Elephas maximus indicus: one gene and its partner. The protein of the gene in region 1 interacts with the protein of each later gene in a pairwise test. Links are inferred from orthologs where the notes say so. Each region holds a gene or a part of one and is shown in the gene's direction. Other genes may lie near its edges. The genes, in order: HOMER1 and C18H1orf116.

Region 1 (10,967 bases):
TAGTTCATAAAGAATGTCCAGGAGACCTCTCTAAAGTGATATAATTGGAGCATAGAACTGAATGAAGAGTGAGCTATGCAAAAATCTTGGTAATATGTGTTTCAGGTAAAAGGAATGAAGAAGGCAAAGGCCCTGCATTTAGAACAAGCTTGGCATATTTGAAGAGCAGCAGCAATATCAGAGTGGCTTTGTGCAGTATACCCAACAGCCATTGCTCCTTCTTGCTGAGAGAGTTCTAAATTTGTTCGGTCACAATGTGCAGACACAAGGGATGAACCATCATTTGCCAATCATGAACATCCTGTTCCAAACTGTCAGTAATTGATTTAGGATGGGCATGTGACCCAGTCTAGCCAATGAGTCATGGGGGGTGGGGCTTCTAGGGGCCTCTTGGAAGCTTTTCTCCCTGGTAAGAGAGAGGCAAAGAAGCCCTGGTGGCACAGTGGTTAAGTGCTCAGCTGCTAACTGAAAGATTGGCAGTTTGAACCCATCACCCACTCCAAGGGAGAAAGATGTGGCAGTCTGCTTCTGTAAAGATTTACAGCCATGGAAACAGTGGGGCAGTTCTACTCTGTCCTGTAGGGTCCTTTTGAGTCAGAATTGACTCGACCACAATGGGTGAGAGAGAGGCATGAAGAAGAAAATTCTGTAATCTCCTTCCCCCCTTCCTGTTTAGTATGCTATTTGTGAGGAGATGATACCTGGAAATGCAATAGTCTTCTAACAACAATGAGACAAGAAGCCAAGTGTAAGAGACAACACATGAAGACGGCAAAATAAAAAAGATGGAAAGATCCTGGACCCTGATGACACCCTGAACCTTCTAAACCAACCACAGGACCACCTACCTTCAGACTTCTTGTTAAATATAGAGAGTTGATAACACAGGAACACATAGAGTAGCAGCTGATGGGGGAAATGGTAGCTGAGATAAGAGGGGGGGTAGGAGCCAGATCGAGGAGTGCCTCTTGGACTAAGAAATAGAGTTTGGATTTTATTCTAAGTGTGAGAGATTTTAGCAGATGACACAACACTCACACAAACACATACGTACACACATTTTAGGAAAAAAGAATTCATTATTAAAATAGCAAAATAGATATTGATTAAAGATATATTTGCCATTTCTGTTCTAATTTGTAGAGAAATTATTGTTTAGAATTAGATTAAAAGAAACCAAAAAGCCTAATCAGTAACTTATGAAGTATCTTGGCTAAAAAAACTGCAAATGTTGAGCATCAAATCTCTGAGCTCTTACGCTTGGGGGAACCTTTAACACATGATCTAGGTATTTATCATTTCTTGCTGCTTTAGCCATGTCAGAGTCTTTATCAGTTATGTTCAGCTTCAGAGAGTTTGCAATTGCCATCTTAAACCCCCACCTCTTTTTAAAATAGTGCCAAATTTCTGCTTTACTCTTATTTCTTTGAAAAAACAGGCAACTTCCCTTCATAAGAGCGGCTGTCCTAAATACCTTGGGTGTTGTTTTTCTCCTAGCTGGCACCAAAAGAATCACAAAATAAGGTAACAGCTCATTTAAAATATTTTCCTCATGGTTGCTCTGTTCCCCCTTTCAGGAAAAAGATTATTGGTTACCATAGCAATCAGCTTCTACAGCATTCCATTCTAAGTAACTGCACAGGTACAGCTCAAGCTTTACTACAGTCTTTACTGTAGCTGTCTGCAGAGCTGCATATTTTTACACCATGTTTTCTGTAACTGCTGTTTGAAACAACCAACCAACCAATCAAAAACACAATCGAAAAACCTGGAGTTAAACGAGATAATTTTTTCAAAGACATCAATATCCCTGTCTCTTCTGAATGTCTTAAAATTTACATACGTAATTATACAATGAGTTCCTCACAGTGCCTAATGAAAAACTCTCTGGTATGTTCTTTCACTGGCTTGTATTATATTTTTATCTTTTTGCTAGTATTTGGAAAACAAAGAATGAATTTACAGTAAAAATCAGAGTAGGAGATAGTTCTGTGAGATCATTTCCCATGGGCTCAATATCATATATTTCCTGACGATAATTCTCTAACTTCTCTCTCCTTCCTAAAAAGTTACTGTAGAGTCTGTAACACAATGTGATGCGTCAGAGTAGAACTGAGCTCCACAGGGTTTTCGATGGCTGATTTTCTGGAAGTAGATCACCAAACCTTCCTTCCAAGGTATCTGTGGGTGGGCTTGAACCCCTAAACTTTGTGTTAGCAGTGCAGCATATTAACTGTTGGTACCACCCTATCATGCCCAAATTCCTGTGACAAAATAATGCATATATACCTATATTAGATAAAATTCACTTACTCAGAGAGATAAAACTTGTCCTCAAGCAATTGCCTTGGAGATGCCAAACACTTACTGTTATGGATTGACTTGTATCCCCCCAAAAATACGTATAAATTTGGCTAGGCCATGAGTCACAGTATTGTGCGGTTGTCAACCATTTTGTGATCTGATGTGATTATCATATGTGCTGTAAATCCCAATCGCTATGATATTAATGAGGCAGGATTAAAAGCAGTTATGTTATTGGGGCAAGACTCCTCAATCTACAGGATCAGGTTATATCTTGAGCCAATACATTTTGAGATATAAAAGAGAGAAGCAAGCAGAGAGGAGAGGGACCTCATGCCACCAAGAATGACGTGCTGGGAGCACAGCGTGTCCTTTGGACCTGGAGCCCCTGTGCTGAGAAGCTGCTAGATCAGGGAACGATTGATGACAAAGACCTTCTCCCAAAACTGACAGAAAGAGAAAGCCTTCCCCTGGAGTTAGTGCCCTGAATTCAGACTTCTAGCCTCCTAGACTGTGAGAGAATATACTTCTGTGTGTTAAAGCCATCCACTTGTCTTATTTCCATTATAGCAGCACTAGACAATTAAGACACTTACCTTTCCACTCTTTAGACTATTAACTAACCTGTTTCTGTTCAGAACATTACTGATAATAACAAAAGATGTTTTTTATAAATAGGCCAAACATAACTTAATGGCACCCAATATCTGCTACAGTGTGGAAGAGGTGGAATGATTTGAGAGAGTTAACTTGATAAATTCTGATTCCCTACAGCTCTTTCATTCTTTTCTCATCACGTTTAGTATTTGCTGGTTATTTTGTTCCTTCAGAACTACGTGGCATTAACTAGAAATCTTGAGGTTTCTATTGTATGGAGCGGTATCCTTTTACTTATTACTTTGTTTGAAGCAATACTGGTGTTTTGGCTATTAAAAAGAGACAACTTGAAAGGAAGTTGCTATTATCTAATTTAATGTTAAGCAATTAAAAATAAAATTCGACTTTTACCCTCTTTTCTGCCAAGTTTTTCTATGTTCTAGATGTCTTTTCATTGAAAAAGACATATCTCATGACCAAGCTATGAACACCCATTGAAGACTGCCATCTCCTATTAAGGGCATGGAAGTAAACTCTGTAACTAAAACAGATGCCTTCGCCCACAGATTCTAAAATCAGAGGGTATTCATAAACCTCTCTACAAATTTTCGGAATGTAAGTGGGAAACAGGAAGTGTTAAAAATTTGAAACTCTGCTAAAGCACTTTTTGCTCTTCCGGTAAAAGAAAATACATTACTTTCTAGGAAGCTCACTACTTTAATAAACATACAAAGAAATCAGAGTTGGAAATTCATGTCTGGGATTTGGGTTATGTCAGCTCATTTTAGGAGAAAAGATAATACTTTTAGATGGAAAGTTATAGAATGGTTCTCTGACTCCTCTCAAAATTATATTGGATTTATTTCAAGAGGGGAAAATAGGACCTCACTTCCCTTATTTTTTTCCTGAGCTTCCATATTACATAAAATATTTCAAAGTTTTTACTTGTTATCTTGGATACATGGACATATATACTCCCTTATATACTCATCCCACATAAACAAGAAACAAAAACTGATTGATTATCTGGAGAATTTTCTCAATAAGAGCAGAGGCCAAAGTTAAATAATTATATCACAGTGCACCATTAGATTTATGTTTTAAAAAAAGGTACTCTCAGTTTTCAGTCAACAAAAGAGCAGCTGAGAAGGGACCATGCAGCTTTGAAAAGTGGAAATTCTATTGAAAGGTCAGCATTCTAAAGGCAAGGGGGCAGCTGACATGCTGTTTTGACAGCTGGGTAAAAATTAAGAGGAAAAAGTTTGTAAAACACAGGAAGTTGCGATCAAAGGGTAGAATGAAGTGTTTGAAAAATGGTAACGTGAGAACTTTAACATGAAGGGAAAGAGCAGGAAAGAGGGATAAGTGATTCAGTTCTGAGAAAAAATAGTTTGTAGAGAAAATTTAGTAGAGTAAAAAATTAATTTCTATTTTAATTTGCAGAGGCCAAGAGATGACATTATTTGAAGAATGATGGTCTTATTTTTTTAATATTTTATATGTAAGTAGGAAGATCCATTTGTCTGAAATATGTTAGTACAAGTTTCTATTAACACGTTCATATGTATTAGACGAATTGGCAAGTACGGATTTGCTTCTGATTAACTTTTTTTTTTATAACCTTTTAAAAATGTTTCTATTCACTACTTTTAACATTTCAAACTTGAAGCAAATTCTGAAATCAGGGAGGGATCATGATTTCATAATGTGAAGATGATCAGAAAGCCTGATTTAGTTACAAATTGGTATTAATCTTTTTTTTTTTTTTGCCAGTGTTCTTTAATCTTGGGTTCCTAATTTGATTAAGAATATTTACATGCAGAAAGCTGCAAAACCAATGTTACTTAATTAGGAATTGTGTGAGTAGCTTAACATTAAAAACATGTCCCCCCCCCCCACAGGGTATAAATTCTATAGAGTTTTAGGTTCTCTTGTTTAAGCTACATTGATTTATAACTCTCTTTTAACAATCACTTGAGCCCTGGTGGCACAGGGGTTAAAAGGTCCGCTGCTAACCAAAAGGTTGGAAGTTGGAATCCACCAGCTGCTCCTTGGATACTATATGGGGCAGTTCTACTCTGTCCTATAGGGTCCCTATGAGTCAAATCAGTAGAAAATGACATAAGAATCACACCAAAGTGGTGAGATATGGAAATCTCGCAAATATATTAAAGTCAGAATTTAATCATCTGCATAAACCAAACCAAACCCCGAAGGCAACGGGTTAACAATCACTGTATAGGTTGGTAATCCTATGTCCTGGATTTTCCAGGTCACTTCGGATTTCAAGTATTTCATTTATTGTCATATGATGTGTCCTGATTTTGGTTTGAAATACATGGTCACTCAATTTAGAGACTAACTCTGAAATAGTAATATCCTTTGACAGTAGGTAGCAATTCTTTTTCCGGCCCATGACTATCAAGTTAAATCAAATTAAACAAAAATTCGTTATATATTTGAGTCTTAATAGGTAGAAGTTGTAAAAGCTTTATAGTAATTTATAGTTTTAAAAGCATTTGTAATATAGACAGAAACATAGCTAATAAGCCTATACGCGGGTATTCACCCTTGCCATGAATAGAAGTGAAAAACATACTTAGGAAATATTTTAACTATGTATTATATGGTAAAAACTAAGGAAGACAAAAATAATCAAAATGTGCTCGTGTTAACAAAAAAGGATTTAGTGGTCTTATTTTAATTTCCACAAACTGGAACTCACGTTGTTGGTACACCGGAAGTGAGAATATACTGGCGTTTGCTATAAGAGCCCTGGTGGCCCAATGGTTGAACGTTGGGCTGCTAACCAAAAGGTCCGCAGTTCTAATCCACCAGCTATTCCTTGGAAACCCTATAGGGCAGTTCTACTGTGTCCTACAGGATTGCTTTGAGTAAGAATCGACTTGATAGCAACGGGTGATTCGGTTGCTATGATAATTATCTGAATGAACTTTCTAAGATTGAAACATTATCCTATGCCAAAACATTGTTTTTTTGCAAATGAAAACATATCATTTTATGTCCTTTCCCCTTTACTATCATTTATAGCATTGCTGTATAACCTTTGTTCATGGCCCGGCTCTTTATTCTTCTGTACTTAATCACTAAAGAGGGGAAAAGAGAAGTTTTAACGTCTACAATTTATAGATTGGTATTTAATAAGTCTTTCGAAAATTACGGTGAATTTTCCCAAGTCTTGGAAGTATATCTACCACTAGTGTTCAGGTTCTCCCTCCCACATTTCCCAGCTAGTTGGGACGTGAAAAGCTCGGGGATGCTGCTGCAACAGGGGTGGGAGTGGGAGATAGGATATCACCCCCCGCCCCCTGACACTTCGGAACTGTTGCTATGAATGATTCACTTCATTTGGCACATTTGTTGCGAGGAAATCTCCTCCAGCCGCTTCCTTCTAGGAGCTCCTCTCGGGCTGTCTCCTGTACTTTGGCCTTTAAGGAGAAGCTAGAACAGGTGGGCACAGAAGAGCTCGCCGAGTCCTCCTCCCCTGCTCCTTCCCTAATTTAGCAATGCTTCCGGCCGCGTGACATCATCCCCCGCACTCTGGTGACGTGAGCGGCGGGTGACGTGTGTGCGGAGAGGAGCGCGCTGACGTTGCTATTTAAAGGTCCTCCTGCGGGGAGGATGGAGACACAGCGCGAGCATCTGGTGTGGGGAGCGGCGGAGGCTGTGGCGGCCGGGAGCGGGGCCAGGAGCCAGCGGAGGAGGAGAGCGCACGGCCCGCCCGCCGCCGGCCGCTAGGGGAGGGGGGAAAGAAAGGAAGGACGGACTGACGGACCTGCTGACTGGCTGGCCTAGCTCCCCACGAGGGCTGGCTCGGCCCCTGACCACCAGCCTCTCCTCCCCCTCGCGGCTGTCTCCCCCTCCCGCACCCCGCAGGGCCCCTCGGGGCCCAAGGGACAGATCTGCGCCCCAGCTCCCGGCTCCCGGCCGCGCCTCCGCGGTGGCGGCCGCCTCCCGCCCCTCCTGCGAGCAGGGGGAGGGGCCACTATCACCCGCCCCCATTCTCCCCGCCCCCTCCTCCGCCCCCCGCAGCTCGCTCCGCCGCCGCGCTAGCCTCTTGCGGGCTGTGCTGACCGGGGAAGGGGTGCCCTCCGCTCTGCAAGCCGGCGGGCGAAGGCGGAGGCACCGGCGGGCTTCAGGCCGCTCGGTCCGGCGGGGTCCTGCCGAGCGGGAGCTGGAAGCCGGCGGAGGCGGGTGGTGAAGGAGGTGTGAGGAGGCGGCAGCAGGGCTCCGGGAATGTGAGGCGGCGCGTGGCGGCAGTGCGCAGCCAGAGAGGCGAGGAGCAGGGGTGAGGGCGCTGGAGCAGCGGCTCTCCCGCGGCTCGGAGCCCTGGTCCCCGGTCCCTGACGCGGCATTAGCGCCCGTCGACCCTTCAGCCCCCTCCTCCGCCGCCGCTCGGCCCGCCCCGGAGCTGGGGGCAGGGTGCCGTTGGAAGCGTGGAGCCTGGCTCTCTGATTCATTCATTCCTTGCCGACGGGAGCCTGAGACCCGCTGCGCTCTGAAGGGAGGGGGAAGAGGGCAGCGGCGAATGAAGGGCCGGGCGCGAGGCGGGCTCCATTGTGCTCGGCGGCGGGGGGCGGGCAGGGGCTGAGGGAGGTGGGATCGGGTCCCCTCCCCCTGCTCCCCGGCGTGCGCTGCGCCCCCAGCCTTCTGCCAGTAGAGATATGGCTCCGTTTATTCTCCTCGGGAGAGTGAATCGATCCTGCCCAGTCTTCTCTTCCTTCTCCCTACCTCCTCTCTGCTCCGAGTCTTGAGGGGAAAATTAAAAAGACAGATTCCAATGTGGAGTGCCGTGCACGTCGCGAGCTGTCGGGTTTGCACTTCGAGGAGATTTTTCTATATATTTTTTTCTAATGTGAGCGTAGGGAAGCATTGGCATTACTGCTTTTCGGATGTTTATTTTCAGGTAGGGATCTTTTAAGTGCACGTCGCGGTGGGTTGACGCTCCACCCCCAGGGACTTGGTGTGGAGAAATTTGAACCCGTAGCACCGAAAAGGCCGAGTTACCTAGCTCTTCGTGAGTGTCAAGGAGGACATGAGCGAAAAGACCAGCGAACTCAGTTTTTATAGGACTCGGTGAAGCTGGATCCCGCGTTTTCCTACAGACTCATTTTGTGGAATAGAGTTGACCGTTGTCTTCTCCGCGCAGCATTTTAACTCTAATAAGCAAATGCCACCTCAGTTTATTTGAACGATTTCTTACTTACGAGGGAGAAAGCATTTTACTTAAGGAAACAAATTGTCAGCATCATTAAAATACCTCCGGAAAAGGACTTCGGGGGGTGGAAAAGCAACGGCGAAATAGCAAACGGAGAAATTCCTTTGGAAGTTATTCCGTATAAGAGCAGAAACTTCAGAGCAAGTTTTCACTGGGCAAAATGGGGTAAGGATTTTTGTGCTTAACACAACTTCAAATCTGTTTATGTATGTGTGTTATTGTCTGTGTTTTGTGTTTTCGAACAAATTTGCCACCTTGCTAAGCTGGCTACACCTTCAAAATATAGGTGTGTTAACCTATTAACAATTTATTTTGTGCGTTCTTTTAGAGTGACACAGGGAGGTCATAGTTAAGGAACGGCGCGTATAACGTTAGTAACCGGAATATAGTTTTATCAGTAATATTTAAGAAGGCAACGCATTCTCCACAAACTGCTGCATGAGTTTGTAATCAAAATCGTGTCTGAGGTTTTGTTGCTGGTCGATGTCTTTCAAAAAGAAGTACTGCATTCTCTCAGTACTTTGAGAATAATCAGTTGCACAAAGGGAACGATTGTATTGTAAACTAAATAGCAGTTAGACGACAGTCCTTGAAAATGATCCAGTGTAAATTATTGCCCTCAATGTGCCCTCTGTTTTGCCCTTGAATATAAGCTAAAAATATATATGTATATATATAAGCTAGAACTGATTTATTGGGGGGATTTAAATGAAAATTTGAAAGTCTACTGAAGCTGTCTCCAGAGTGCGGTGCAGTCAGTAGGAAATAAGAACTTGAATAAGAAAAAGTCTTTTGTCGAAGGAACTTGTTCACTTCTTCTGTTTTTTACTTCTAAGCTCAGGTTTTCCGTTTGTGTTAACAATGTCAGATCTACCTTTCTGTCAGATCCAAATCCAATCAGGAGTGCATTTTCCAACCTTTTATTAAGTTCGTTCACACGAGTAGCTTGATAAAATGCTAGTGACTTCCTAATTTAAGCTGGAAACTCATATTAATGGAATGATCTACTTGTTTTATTGACAGATTGTTGATGCTTTCCCTCAGAGAGGAACTTCCAGAATTTTCTCTGCCTCCCTCCCTCCCTCCCTCTCTCTCTGTGTGTGTGTGTGGTTGAGGGGCAGATTTTGAAAGGATGGACTCACATTTCTTTGTGATAGTTTAGGGGAGTGTACACACACTTCTTGAGACTTTTGAAAGGAAGTTTTGGGTAGTACTACCTTTTTGTTGGAGTTAAAATGTGAAGTTAATTAATTTGAACAACTTTCATAGCTTGGGTATTGTAGGAGCTCTTCCTCAGGAATTAATGGAAAACGGTGATAACTGTTCTTAAAAAATTACAAGTGGTGAGAATGTATGTAATTCCCATGATTTGGGAGCAATTAAAATATCTCATTCTGTTTCTAGCATTGCTATTAGTAGGCTAGTGCTCTGAGGCAAATATTTAACTTCTGTGGACTGTCTTCTTATCTGCAAAGTGAAGAACTTATGTGAGATGGGTTTGAAAGACTTTTCCAACTATAAAAATGAATTGTTTTCTTTTTTCTCCTTACATTTTAATGATCACTAGTTGGCTTCTTAAAGTAGATCTTTCAGGTGGAGATGTTATTTTCTGTAAAGAGTTTTTAAGCACCTTAACAAGCTGGAAAATAATGCATTTGAAAAATGTTTTAGATTAACTCCACTAATTTTAAAGGAGGGATTCTGAAAAATACTGTTATTTAAAGCCTTTGAAATATGGCTTCTTTTGAGAACCTGCAGTTCTTCTGGTTAAAATATGTTGGAGCAAAAAAATCAAGTGGCAGTTTTTCACGTTGAAGACTGCATTCTCTAGATTGTGAGCGGTAGCATCTTGGAAGAAAATCAGTTTTCCACAACCTTAAAAAAAAAAATTTTTTTTTTTAAGCCTCATGAATGCCTATCATTTTACCAAGAAGGCTTGAGATGAACTTAAATACTGAGGGGACTAGGATTTAAAATATAAAAATAAGCCTCCCCGTGCCCAGCACACACGTAACACACATTTAGATACTTCAGCATAATTAAATTTGCTGATAAACTAGTTTATTTGCCTTTTGTTAATAAAGTCTTAAAGGTGGACTGAGGTGGAAAGGGAGCGAGTGTTTGTGGCGTTATTTTTCAGAAAGTCCGTTATAGGGGCTATGACCCTTTTCATTGATAGTGACGTGTACCGTCTTGAATTAATGAGCGGAAGTGTAGGTGGAAGTGGACTAGAAGAGCACAAGGAGAAGGCATTTGTGCAAGTTTCCAAACTTGATAGATGTTTATACCTAATAAATGTTTGTGGAGTAAGCGTAGCTGCCAGCACCTATGTAAAACAAGAGGAAACAGAGCTATAAATGACCTTTAAACTTTTACCCACGCAATCCTAAAACTTTATTCTGACACGTGTCTGAAATTTAATATTGTGAGTGAAGAGTGTCACATATAATGAATGCATTTTTGGCTGATGCTAGCTCATAGTAAAAATTATTTCTTTGCCTTAATTATGAATGTAATTTTAAGGGCAAAGTCTAAGCAAAAGAGGTTACGTTCAAGAAAATGAGTGATTAGGTGGGAAGAAAATCTGTGGCTCCTGAACAGTAATTTATGAACTCTGGTGGAACTGAAAAGAACAGCTGAAACTGACAGTTGGCAGAGTCTGTCAAAGTATCTTGGATGCTGCATGAACTGTTTTTAATTGCAGTGAAGACAGCTGAAGTATCCGTTTGTAAAGTTGTGTCAGACAATAAAAAATTAGGGCATTCACGTATGTAAGATGAAGTCTATGGAAAACTCAGTGAGAAGGTCCCCTCCCTTTGGTTTGCCA
Region 2 (10,641 bases), on another chromosome or scaffold:
GGAGCAACCCTTGTTACATTGAACTCCTGCTTTGGACATGCCTTTCCTGTTTTGTCAGTGTTATGATATCACGCGGTTGAATGGCATATCAGGAAGAGAGATCATTGCCCTGAAATGCACAGTCAACTCTTGTCAGCCATACACTGGGTCATCCCAGGCCTCTCTCCTTCCTCCTCACTAGTCCTGCCCCACCTCTTCTTTACCTTGGCCCCAGTGTCATTGCAATTCTTATTTCCTACTCAACTAGGATCACAGAGAGACAATGAAAGTTGTGTGTCATCTTGTTATAAAACATATTAATAGCTATAAGAAGTGAGACGGGGAAGGATGAATCTAATGGTTAGAATTGTTGTTGTGTGCTGTCCAGTTGGTTTTTGACTCATGGTGTCACTATGTTAGAGACTAAAACTGCCCTATAGAGTTTTCTAGGCTATAATCTTTATGGAAGGAGCTCTGTTGGTGTGGTGGCTAAAGCACTCAGCTAGTAACTGGAAGGTTGGCAGTTCAAGCACACCAGCTGCTCTGAGGGAGAAAGATGTGGCAGTCTGCTTCTGTAAAGATTGTTGTTGTTAGGTGCCATCACATCAATTCCAACTCACAGCAACCCTATGTATAACAGAACAAAATACTGCCCGATCCTGCACCATACTCGCAATCACTGCTGTTTGAGCCCATTGTTGCAGCCACTGTGTCAATCCATCTTGTTGAGAGTCTTCTTCTTTTTCGCTGACCTTCTACTTTATCAAGCATGATGTCCCTCTCCAGGGACTGGTCCCTCCTGATAACAGGTACAAATTACGTGAGATGAAGTCTCGGCATTCTCATTTCTAAGGAGCACTCTGATTGTACTTCTTCCATGGCAGATTTATTCTTTTTTTTTTTTGACAGTCCATGGTATATTCGATATTCTTCACCAACACCATAATTCAAAGGCGTCAATTCTTCTTTGGTCTTCCTTATTCATTGTTCAGCTTTTGTATGAATATGAGGCAATTGTAAATGCTGTGGCTTGGGTCAGGCGCACCTTAGTCCTCAAAGTGACATCTTTACTTTTTAACACTTTAAAGAGGTCTTTTGCGGCAGAATTGCCCAATGCAATGTGTCATTTGATCTCCTGACTGCTGCTTCCATGAGTGTTGATTGTGGATCCAAGTAAAACAAAAGCCTTGACAACTTCAATTTTTTCTCCGTTTATCATGATGTTGCTTATTGGTCCATTTGTGAGTATTTTTGTTTACCTGTGTTTTATTGACTACGCAAAGGCATTCGACTGTGTGAATCATAACAAATTATGGAGAATATTGTGAAGAATAGAAATTCCAGAACACTTAATTGTGCTCTTGCGGAACCTGTAAGAGGCAGTTGTTTGAACAGAACAAGGGGATACCATATGGTTTAAAATCAGGAAAGGTATATGCCAGGGTTGAATCTTTTCACTATAAGTATTTGACCTGTAGACTGAGCAAATAATCCTAGAATCTGGACCATATGAAGAAGAACGCAGCATCAGGATTGGAGGGAGACTCATTAACAACCTGCAATATGTAGATGATACAACTTTGCATGCTGAAAGTGAAGAGGACTTGAAACACTTACTGATGAAGATCAAAGACCATAGCTTTCAGTATGAAGTATACCTTGACATAAAGAGAACAAAAATCCTCTGTAAAGTTTATAGCCTTGGAAATCCTATGGGGTAGTTCTACTCTGTCCTATACTGTCACTATGAGTCAGAATTGACTTGATGGCAAAGTGTTTGGTTTTGAATCTTTATGGCAGCAGATCACTAGGTCTTTCTCCCACAGAGGTGCCAGGTGGGTTTAAACTGCCAACTTTTGGTTAGCAACTGAATGCTTAACTACTGCACCACCAAGGCCCCTTAATGGTTAGAATTAGACCTACAAATTATCTGTGCATGTCATGTTCCATTTTCTCCAAAACAGGCAGATTGGCATCATTCTGATGTCAGGCTGCCTGAATTGAAACTACTGCCCTGTCACTTCCTGGCTACTTGTTCTTGGGCAAGTTATTTAACCTTTCTGTGCCCCCATTTCCTCACCTATAAAATTTAGGTAGTAATAGTGCCTACTTTTCAAAGTTGATATTAAATGTTAATATTAAGTTTATATTAAAAGTTCAAGATTCAATGAAATGATACATGCAAGTGCCTAGCAAAATACCTAGCAAAAAAGTAAAAACATAATAAAATTTGGAAATTATTGCATTTATTATTAACTTTAAATCTTCTTCCTGCCCCTTTAATGTGAGTAAGTAGAGTACCTTAAAAGTTGATAGGTATCATACCATATACACCAGGATAGTTCAACATTAGAAAATCAATGTAATCGACCACATAAACAGAACAAAAGAAAAGAATCACATGAACATCTCAATGGGTACAGTAAAGCATTTGATAAAGTCCAACACCCATTCCTGATTTAAAAAAAAAAAAAAAGTCTTAATAAAATAGAAGGTTAAGAGCTCAGCTGCTAACCAAAAGGTCAGCAGTTTGAATCTACCAGCCGCTCCTTGGAAATCCTATGAGTTGGTTCTACTCTGTCCCATAGGGTCACTATGAGTCAGAATAGGCTTGATGACAATTTTTTTTTCTTTAATATACAAAACCAACAGCCAACTTCATTCTCAATGGAGAGAGGCTGAAAGTATTTCCCCTGAGAGTGGGAACAAGACAAGGATGCCCTTTATCACCACTCCTATTTAACATTATGCTGAAAGTCCTAGCTAGAGCGATAAGGCAATAAAAATAAATAAAGAGCATCCAAATTGGAAAGGAAGAAATAAAACTATCCCTATTCACAGATAATATGATCCTATACATACAGAACCCCAAACATTCCACAAGAAAACTACTGGAGCTAATAGAAAATTCAGCAGAGAAGCAGGATACAAGATCAACATGCAAAGATCAGTTGGATTCCTATACACCAGCAAAAACAACTTTGAAAAGGAAATCAGGAAAATAATACCACTTATAATAGCCCCTGAAAAGATAAAATGCTTAGGAATAAATCTAACCAGGGACACAAAAGACCTATACAAAGAAAACAACAACACACTACTGGAAGAAACCAAAAGTAATCTACTTAAATGGAAAAACATACCATGCTCATGGATAGGTGGACTCAACATTGTGAAAATGTCAATTCTACCCAAAGTGATCTACAGATATAATGCAATCCCAATCCAAATACCAACAGCATTCTTTAATGAGATGGAAAAACTAATCACCAACTTTATATGGAAAGGAAAGAGGCCCGGGATAAGCAAAGAATCACTGAAGAAGAACGGCAAAGTAGGAGGCCTCACACTACCGATCTCAGAATCTACTATACCACCACAGTAGTCAAAACTACCTGGTACTGGGACAATGGCAGACACGTAGACCAATGGAACAGAATCAAGAACCCAGATGTAAATCCACCCACTTATAATGAGCTGATTTTTGACAAAGGACCAAAGCCCATTAAATGGAGAAAAGACAGCCTTTTTAACAAATGGTGCTGGCATAGCTGGATGTCCATCTGTAAAAAAAAATTAAATAGGACCCATACCTCACACCATACACAGAAACTAACACAAAATGGATCAAAGACCTAAATATAAAACCTAAAATGATAAAAAAAAAAAAAAAAAAAAGATCATGGAAAAAAAAACTTGGGGACAATGCTGGGGCCCTAATACGTGACATAAATATAACACATAACTAACAATACACAAACAGATAAGCTAGATAACTAGCATCATCTAAAAATTAAACACTTATGCTTATCAAAAGACTTCAGCAAAGGAGTAAAAAAAGAACCCACAGGCTGGGAAAAATTGGGGGCTATGGTACATCTGACAAAGGTCTAATCTCTAAAATCTGCAGAATACTTCAACACATCAATAACAAAAAGGCAAATGATCCAATTAAAAAATGGGCAAAAGATATGATCAGACAACTTCACCAAATAAGACATTCAGGCAGCAGGTAACAGACACCTGAGGAAATGCTCGTGATCACTAGCTATTAAAAAAAGCTACTAGAGAAATGCAAATTAAAACAATAATCAGATGCCATGGCACCCCAACATTACTGGCACTAATTAAAAAAACAGAAAATAACAAACGTTGGAGAGGTTGTGGGGAGATTGGGACTCTTAATCACTGCTGGTGGGAATGTAAAATGGTATAACCACTATGGAAAACGATATGGTGCCTCCTTAAAAAGCTAGAAATAGAAACACCATATGATCCAGCAATCTCACTCTTAGGAATATATCCTAGAGAAATAAGAGTCATCTCACGAAGAGACATATGCACACCAGCCATGTTCATTGCAGCACCATACACAGTAGCAAAAAGATGGAAACAACCTAAGTGCTCATCAACAGATGAATGGATAAACAAATTATGGTGCATACACACAATGCAATACTACACAACAATGAAGGACAATGATGAATCCATGAAACATCTTACAACATGGATGAATCTGGAGGCCGTTATGCTGAATGAAATAAGTCAATTACAAAAGGACAACTATTGTATGAGACCACTATTATAAAAACTCAAGAAAAAGCTTATAAACGAAAAAAGAATTTTGGCAATTATGAGGGAGGGGAGGGTCGGAGGGGACATCACTAACTAGATAGTAGACAAGTGTTAGCTTTGATGAAGGGGAAGACAACACACAATATAGGGGAAGTCAGTACTACTTGAACAAGGCAAAGTCATAGAGGCCACCTAAACATACCCAAACACCTTGAGGGACCAAGTTACTGGGACTGAGGGCTGGACGACATGGTCCCAGGGGACATCTAGGTCAACAGGCAAAATATAGTTCATAAAGAAAATGTTCTACATCCTATTTGGTGAGTAGTGTCTGGGGTCTTAAAAGAATGTGAGTGGCCATCTAAGATACATCTATTGGTCCCATCACATTCAGAGCAAAGGAGAACGAAGAAAACAAAAGACAGAAGGAAAATATTAGTCCAAAGGACTAATGGACTATATAACCACAGCCCCCACCAACCTGAGTCCAGATGAACCAGGTGGTATCCTGGCTATGACCACCAACCTCTCTGACAGGGATTGCAGTAGAAGGTCCTGGACAGAGAGGTAGAAAAATGTAGAACAAAATTCAAATTCACAAAAAAGACCAGACGACCTGGTCTGACAGAGACTGGAGGAACCCCTAAGATTATGGCCCCTGGGCACCCTGCTAACTCAGAACTGAAGCCCCTCCTGAGGTCCACCTTTCAACCAAAGATTAGACAAGTCTATAAAACAAACAATAACACACGCTAGGGATGTTCTTCTTAGTTCAATCAAGTATACGAGAGTAAATGTGCAATACCTGCCCAAAAGTAAAGATGAGAAGGCAGAAAGGGACAGGAAAACTGGATGAATGGACATGGAGAACCCAGGGTGGAAAGGGAAAGGGGGAGAGTGCTGACACACTGCGGGGATTGCAACCAATGTCATAAAACAATTCGTGTGTACCTTTTTAACGAAAAACTAATTGTGATGTAAACTTTCACCTAAAAAACAATAAAAAAAAAAAAAGTTGGTAGGTATCAAGTATAGCCTACCTTGAGGAGAAACCAACTTCCAGGCAAAAATCATATCTAGGAAGAGTAGCCAATATCTGGCGGGAGATTGTTTCCTGAAAGCACTGAGTTATTCTACCTCAAGCTGACTGAGATTCGCCCTGCTCTCTTCAGGTTGTTTTAACTACAGCTGCCAAAAATCTGCCCATGGAAGGAGACAAGAGTTGCTCAGCTAGTTGGTTGCTATTTTGTTTTTATTTCTTAATGCTCATTGCCCCTTCCTAGAACAGCTAAAAGAGACGGGAGACCCAAATGACAGGGTATATGTTCCCTCCCTTGCGGCTGCTGGTCACTTTATTATCAGGGCAGGGACCACCTGGGGGAAAAATAGTTTCATTTTCCCCAGAAATAAATGAGACCAAGAAGGTCGTTGGCCAGCAGTGGGGTGCGAGTATCTCAGCTAACACATTCCTAGCTGTAAGACACCCTCCTCAAGACAGCAGAAGCCTTGGAGATGAAAGTGATTCTGCTTAGCTAGAAAAGCAGAAACTGGCCACAAAGGATTTTAACTTGGGGAATTCAGGAGAATACTTAATTCCTGGAGCCCTGGTGGCACAGTTGTTAAGCATTTAGCTGCTAACCAAAAGGTCGGCAGTTTGAATCCACCAGCCGCTCCTTGGAAGCCATATGGGGCAGTTCTACTCTATTCTATAGGGTCACCATGAGTCGGAATCAACTTGACGAAAGAGAGTTCGGTTTGGGTTACTTAGTTCCTAGTGGAACAGGCCCACAGAAACGCATGCTGCCCAATGGATGTGCTCCTTTAAGTAATAACAAATAACTATGTTTTTGCCTAGCCCCTTCCTGCCAACCCTGCCGTCTTCCAGTACCAGTTCAAACCTGTCCCTCAGTGCTCCAGCCCTCCTTTTTTTACGGGCTCATTATTGGCTCTAAGGAAGAAGAAGGGTAGGGCAAGAGAGGATTGGTTAGGTGAGAGCAGTACTGCCTTGCCCATTCCCCTCCCACGCCCTACCTGGAGAAACAGCTGGAATGAGAAGTAGGGAGGGGAGGCTGGGATTGGATGAGAGGCAGTGGCAGGGTGGAGTGAGGCAGTCCAAATGAAGCATTTACCTGTCTAGGTAAGTCAGGAGGAGGTCAAAGGAAGAAAACAGTAGGAGGCAGGGGAAGCAGGCTCTGTCCGGTCTCTGCCCTTTGAAATAAAGGGCTATTCCTTTCCTCTCGTCAGCTGCCCACCAAGTGCAGGTGAGTCAGTCACTAACTACTGCTTATTCTGCAGCAAGAGGAGGGGTCTGTGGAAAGTCAGAGCTCCAGGATTGCGAGGGTCCCCCTACTCTTTATCCCAGCAAGGGGGCTTTCCTCTCTGTTCCTCAACTCTTTGTGTTTAGTGTGGGATTGGGGTAGGCTGGTAGCTTCATGAGGTTGCAGTATTTTTCTGGAGACTAGGGCCAAGACACATCTTTTTCATTTGCCTCTTTACATTGGATATGCATACTGTGCGGACAACATGGACAGGAAATAAAAGTGTGTTTGGGAAATGTCCCCCTCTGAGCAACTGAAGTGGGGCTGTGACTTTGAAAGAAAATAGTTGGAGTGGAGGGAGTCAAAGTGGGAGACGGTCCAAATAAGTAGAATGTTCCCTCCTTGGTCCTCCATTGCATTTATAACAGGAAATTCTTCCATGGCTTTATCAACTAGATGTCTATCTTTATTTAAATAAAGGGTGCAGTGTGTGTATGTTCAATCATGGTAGCTTGATAATGGAGCTTTGTGGGCAAGTGTGTAAGGTGTGCCCTGGGCTAGATTGTTTGTGAGGGATGTGAGTTTTAGGCACATTAGGAGAACCCCCACTCAGGCCACCAGCTCCTACTGGAAACACCATGGGTAATCTAGTTGTAAAATCAAGTTTATTTGGGTTCAACTCAATTTTCCAACTTTGCCTGTTAATAGATACAGAGACTGGCAAACAGAAAGTTAGCTGGCTGGCTGGAGCCTCACCCACATTAATGTTTCGCGGTAGCATGTCGAGTCTGGTCAGAGTTCTGAGTGGGGCTCAGTCCAAAGTGGGTGGCACAGTCCACAGAGAGGAGAACAGACCAATGTAAGGGTTTTATTTGGTTTCCCCTCAGTTGTCCCAATTGGCAATATGTATTGGCAGGTTTACCTGCACAAGGAAGCTGGATGTAAAAGTCAGAGCAGCAAGTCAGCTTTCCCTGTTATCTACCTTGGAATTAACACTCTGGTCCCTAACTTCGCCACTTTTCCTCCTGCCACAGGGCAGAGAGAAGAGGGAGGACCCAGTGCCAGGCTCCCAGAGCCTGGCACATGCCAACACTGGAGCTCTAGGCTTTAGCCTACCCACCCCCCCCACCACAGGGCCAGCCCTCTCACTCACTGTGAGACCTGTGGTAGATGGTGACCTTGTCACAATGAAGATCATCTGTAGTGCCTACCAAAGCTTTTCTGTGCAGAGGGTATTTCTACTCACCCCTTCCCTCAAACTCACTGGTAAAACAGGAGATTATAATGTTGTCTAAACACACACAGAAACTTGTCCGCATGCACGTGGCAAGGGACACATAGGCAGCCGTCCCCTGGTGTTTTTCTTAGAATGCTCTCCAGCCCTAGCCTAGGTGCATTTCTGGGTAGTCAGCAGAAAGCAGATCCTGGTCAGAGAGAATCAGGAAACCTCTTTGACTACTGGGAGAGAGACTGTGTTCTTGGGGGACTTAGGTGTGGGCTACTGGGAGGAGAGTGACAGTGGGCTCTGGGTCTGTTTAGAAGGTACCAAGAAGCCGAACTGGAATGGGACTGGAGTCCACTCCTCACCCCGCCCCCTCTAGATGCCAGAACTCCACATTATTTACTCACCTCCAAGGCTTGGCTGGTTTCAGTGGAGTAGTTAATATTTAACGCAGCTTTGAACGGGTGGTCCTGATGATAGGCTGTGCATGTTTCTTAACCAATTCCCTCCACCCTTCAAGCCTCCAAAAGAGGTCGAGGGTTAAAAGATACCAAGCTCTCACCTTGAGTGTTTTGCTTGTTTCTCGGGCTTCTTATCAGATAGAAATATCTCAGGTTTCAATGACTACCCTGAAAAAGCTCCCAAGTTTCAAAGTTGTAAAGTTGTTGGAAAGAAATGAAGCCAAGCTGGGTAGAAGGGTGGGAAGAAGAGAATTTTTTTTTTTCTCTTTAATATTCCAAACTCTTTGGGTCAGAAAATTTGGTGTGGAGATGAAGTGCGAGCGCCCCAGGGCTCACTCGTCTTTGATTTCAGATTCAGATTCATCTCTGCGGTGATTATGTAGTGCCTGGTGACATGATCTTCAGTGGCGTTGGGTGTCATTTCTTTAGTCTTTGGAAATATCTGTCTGTTACTGGGCAATAAATTGGCCTGGAAGCATACGACTAAGCTGGATAACTCACAGAAGTTAAGGTATGAAGGGGAAGGAGAGGATGATTTCAGGGCTTTCAGAATTTCATCGGGGTAGCCAATGACACTTCTTTGGGTACATGCCACTCTTGCATCTGGACAGTCCTTGAGATGCCCTCTGGAGGTCCCGGATCCACAGGTTGCCTTTTGCATGCTGTTAAAGGTCATTCCTACTTCCTTTAGGAAGAGGTAGTGGAAAGACCCCCAGCTTTCTCAACTGTAAAATGAAGGAAATGTCACATCCTGCCTATGCTGCAGGTTATTATGAAGACCTGATTAGCGTATCTGTGAGCCATAGCATGCTATGCTCTTTGGAAGCAGTGCTATTCCTGTTGTTTTTATCTCTTCTTGCTGTTTTGGGCTCTGCTAGAGGGTTTCCTGAAGTGAGAGTAAGACAGGCTTCCCTGGAAGGAAGGAGAGGCTAGCAAAGCACTATGAAGTCTGAAGCGTACTCAGAAGAGCAAGGGTAGTGATTTTCTGTGAAAAGAAGAGGCAGCATCTTCTCACCCATGCAGAGAGAGTATTACATTAATTACAGTGAGTCACTTTAAATACCTACTGCCCCAATTTTATAGATAAGAAAACTAGGTCTGAAAACTAGACCCTTGGATCTACACTGGCTTCTTGAAAACAAGGCGTTTGTCTCGTACAGTTTTTCACCCTCAGTGTCTCTTACGTGTTCATAAATGTTAGTCTAACTGAAAACATTGCCCAAGTTTCTTGAGTCACATATTATCTGAGAAATAAAACATTTAAGGAAAAATTGCAGTGGTAAGTTAGAAGCCAAGAAAAAGCCTTCCAACAGCTCAACCCAATAGGCACTAAAATGGATGAGAAGTTAATCACCCAGCATTGTGTGAAGGCCTTCTGTACGTCTGGCCTATGAGATGGATCTCCTTTGCTGTCGTGGCCTCAGCCCTATAAAATGTTTAGAATGGGCAGTTGTAAATGAAGTGAATAGCTGGAATGACTGACCTTTATCCACGTGACCTCTCAAATTCCTCTCAATGTTTGGATATGCACAGTGGTTAAAGCAATTGACTGCTAACCAAAAGGTTGGCAGTTCTAAACCCCCAGCACCTCCGTGGGAGAAAGATGTGGCAGTCTGCTTCTGTAGAGATTTACAGCCTTGGAAACCCTATGGGGCCGCTATGAGTCAAAATTAACTTGACGGTAGTCCCAGACCCAAATTAGTAGGTTTGTTTTTTTTTGTGGGGTGGAGGGTGAAGGGGGACTAACTTCACCAAGGAGCCCTAAGAGATATCTCACCCAAAGTTGATTTATCGTTGGATTTTTTTGATGTCTCTGCCTCCTCTGGCCCCTCCCACAGATGTCTGGTTCACCAGGAATCTTCCCTCTTCCTTCCCCGGTACCCTGCCCCTCCCTACCTGCCCCTCTTGAGGGACTCCTCCCAAGCACGAGAGGAGCGCCATGTGGGCTTGTGCTTGCCAGCTCTGTATGATTGGCAGGCTGACTCACCCAACCTGGCCCAAACCTGACTGTGGCACTAGAAGAAATTCTTGCAGAATCCAAAGAGATACCTGCCCATGTATCCAAGCACCCAGATCTCAAATAGAGCACGTTTTCTAGGACATTTTACCCAGTATGGAGATGGGGGAGAGGTGTCGGAAAATATAA

Evidence for each region.
Region 2: the proteins of HOMER1 (region 1) and C18H1orf116 interact in binary tests that used the Homo sapiens proteins (3 or more experiments, as listed by UniProt). The link is inferred for Elephas maximus indicus from reciprocal best matches to the Homo sapiens genes HOMER1 and C1orf116.

What each region holds. Positions count from the first base shown.
Region 1 is NC_064820.1:84,490,984-84,501,950, reverse strand, and holds the start of HOMER1 (homer protein homolog 1), read left to right. Parts: upstream 1-6,549; 5' UTR 6,550-8,300; coding exon 8,301-8,305; intron 8,306-10,967. UniProt on the Homo sapiens protein: Postsynaptic density scaffolding protein. Binds and cross-links cytoplasmic regions of GRM1, GRM5, ITPR1, DNM3, RYR1, RYR2, SHANK1 and SHANK3.
Region 2 is NC_064836.1:16,879,235-16,889,875, reverse strand, and holds the start of C18H1orf116 (specifically androgen-regulated gene protein), read left to right. Parts: upstream 1-6,619; 5' UTR 6,620-6,815; intron 6,816-10,641. UniProt on the Homo sapiens protein: Putative androgen-specific receptor.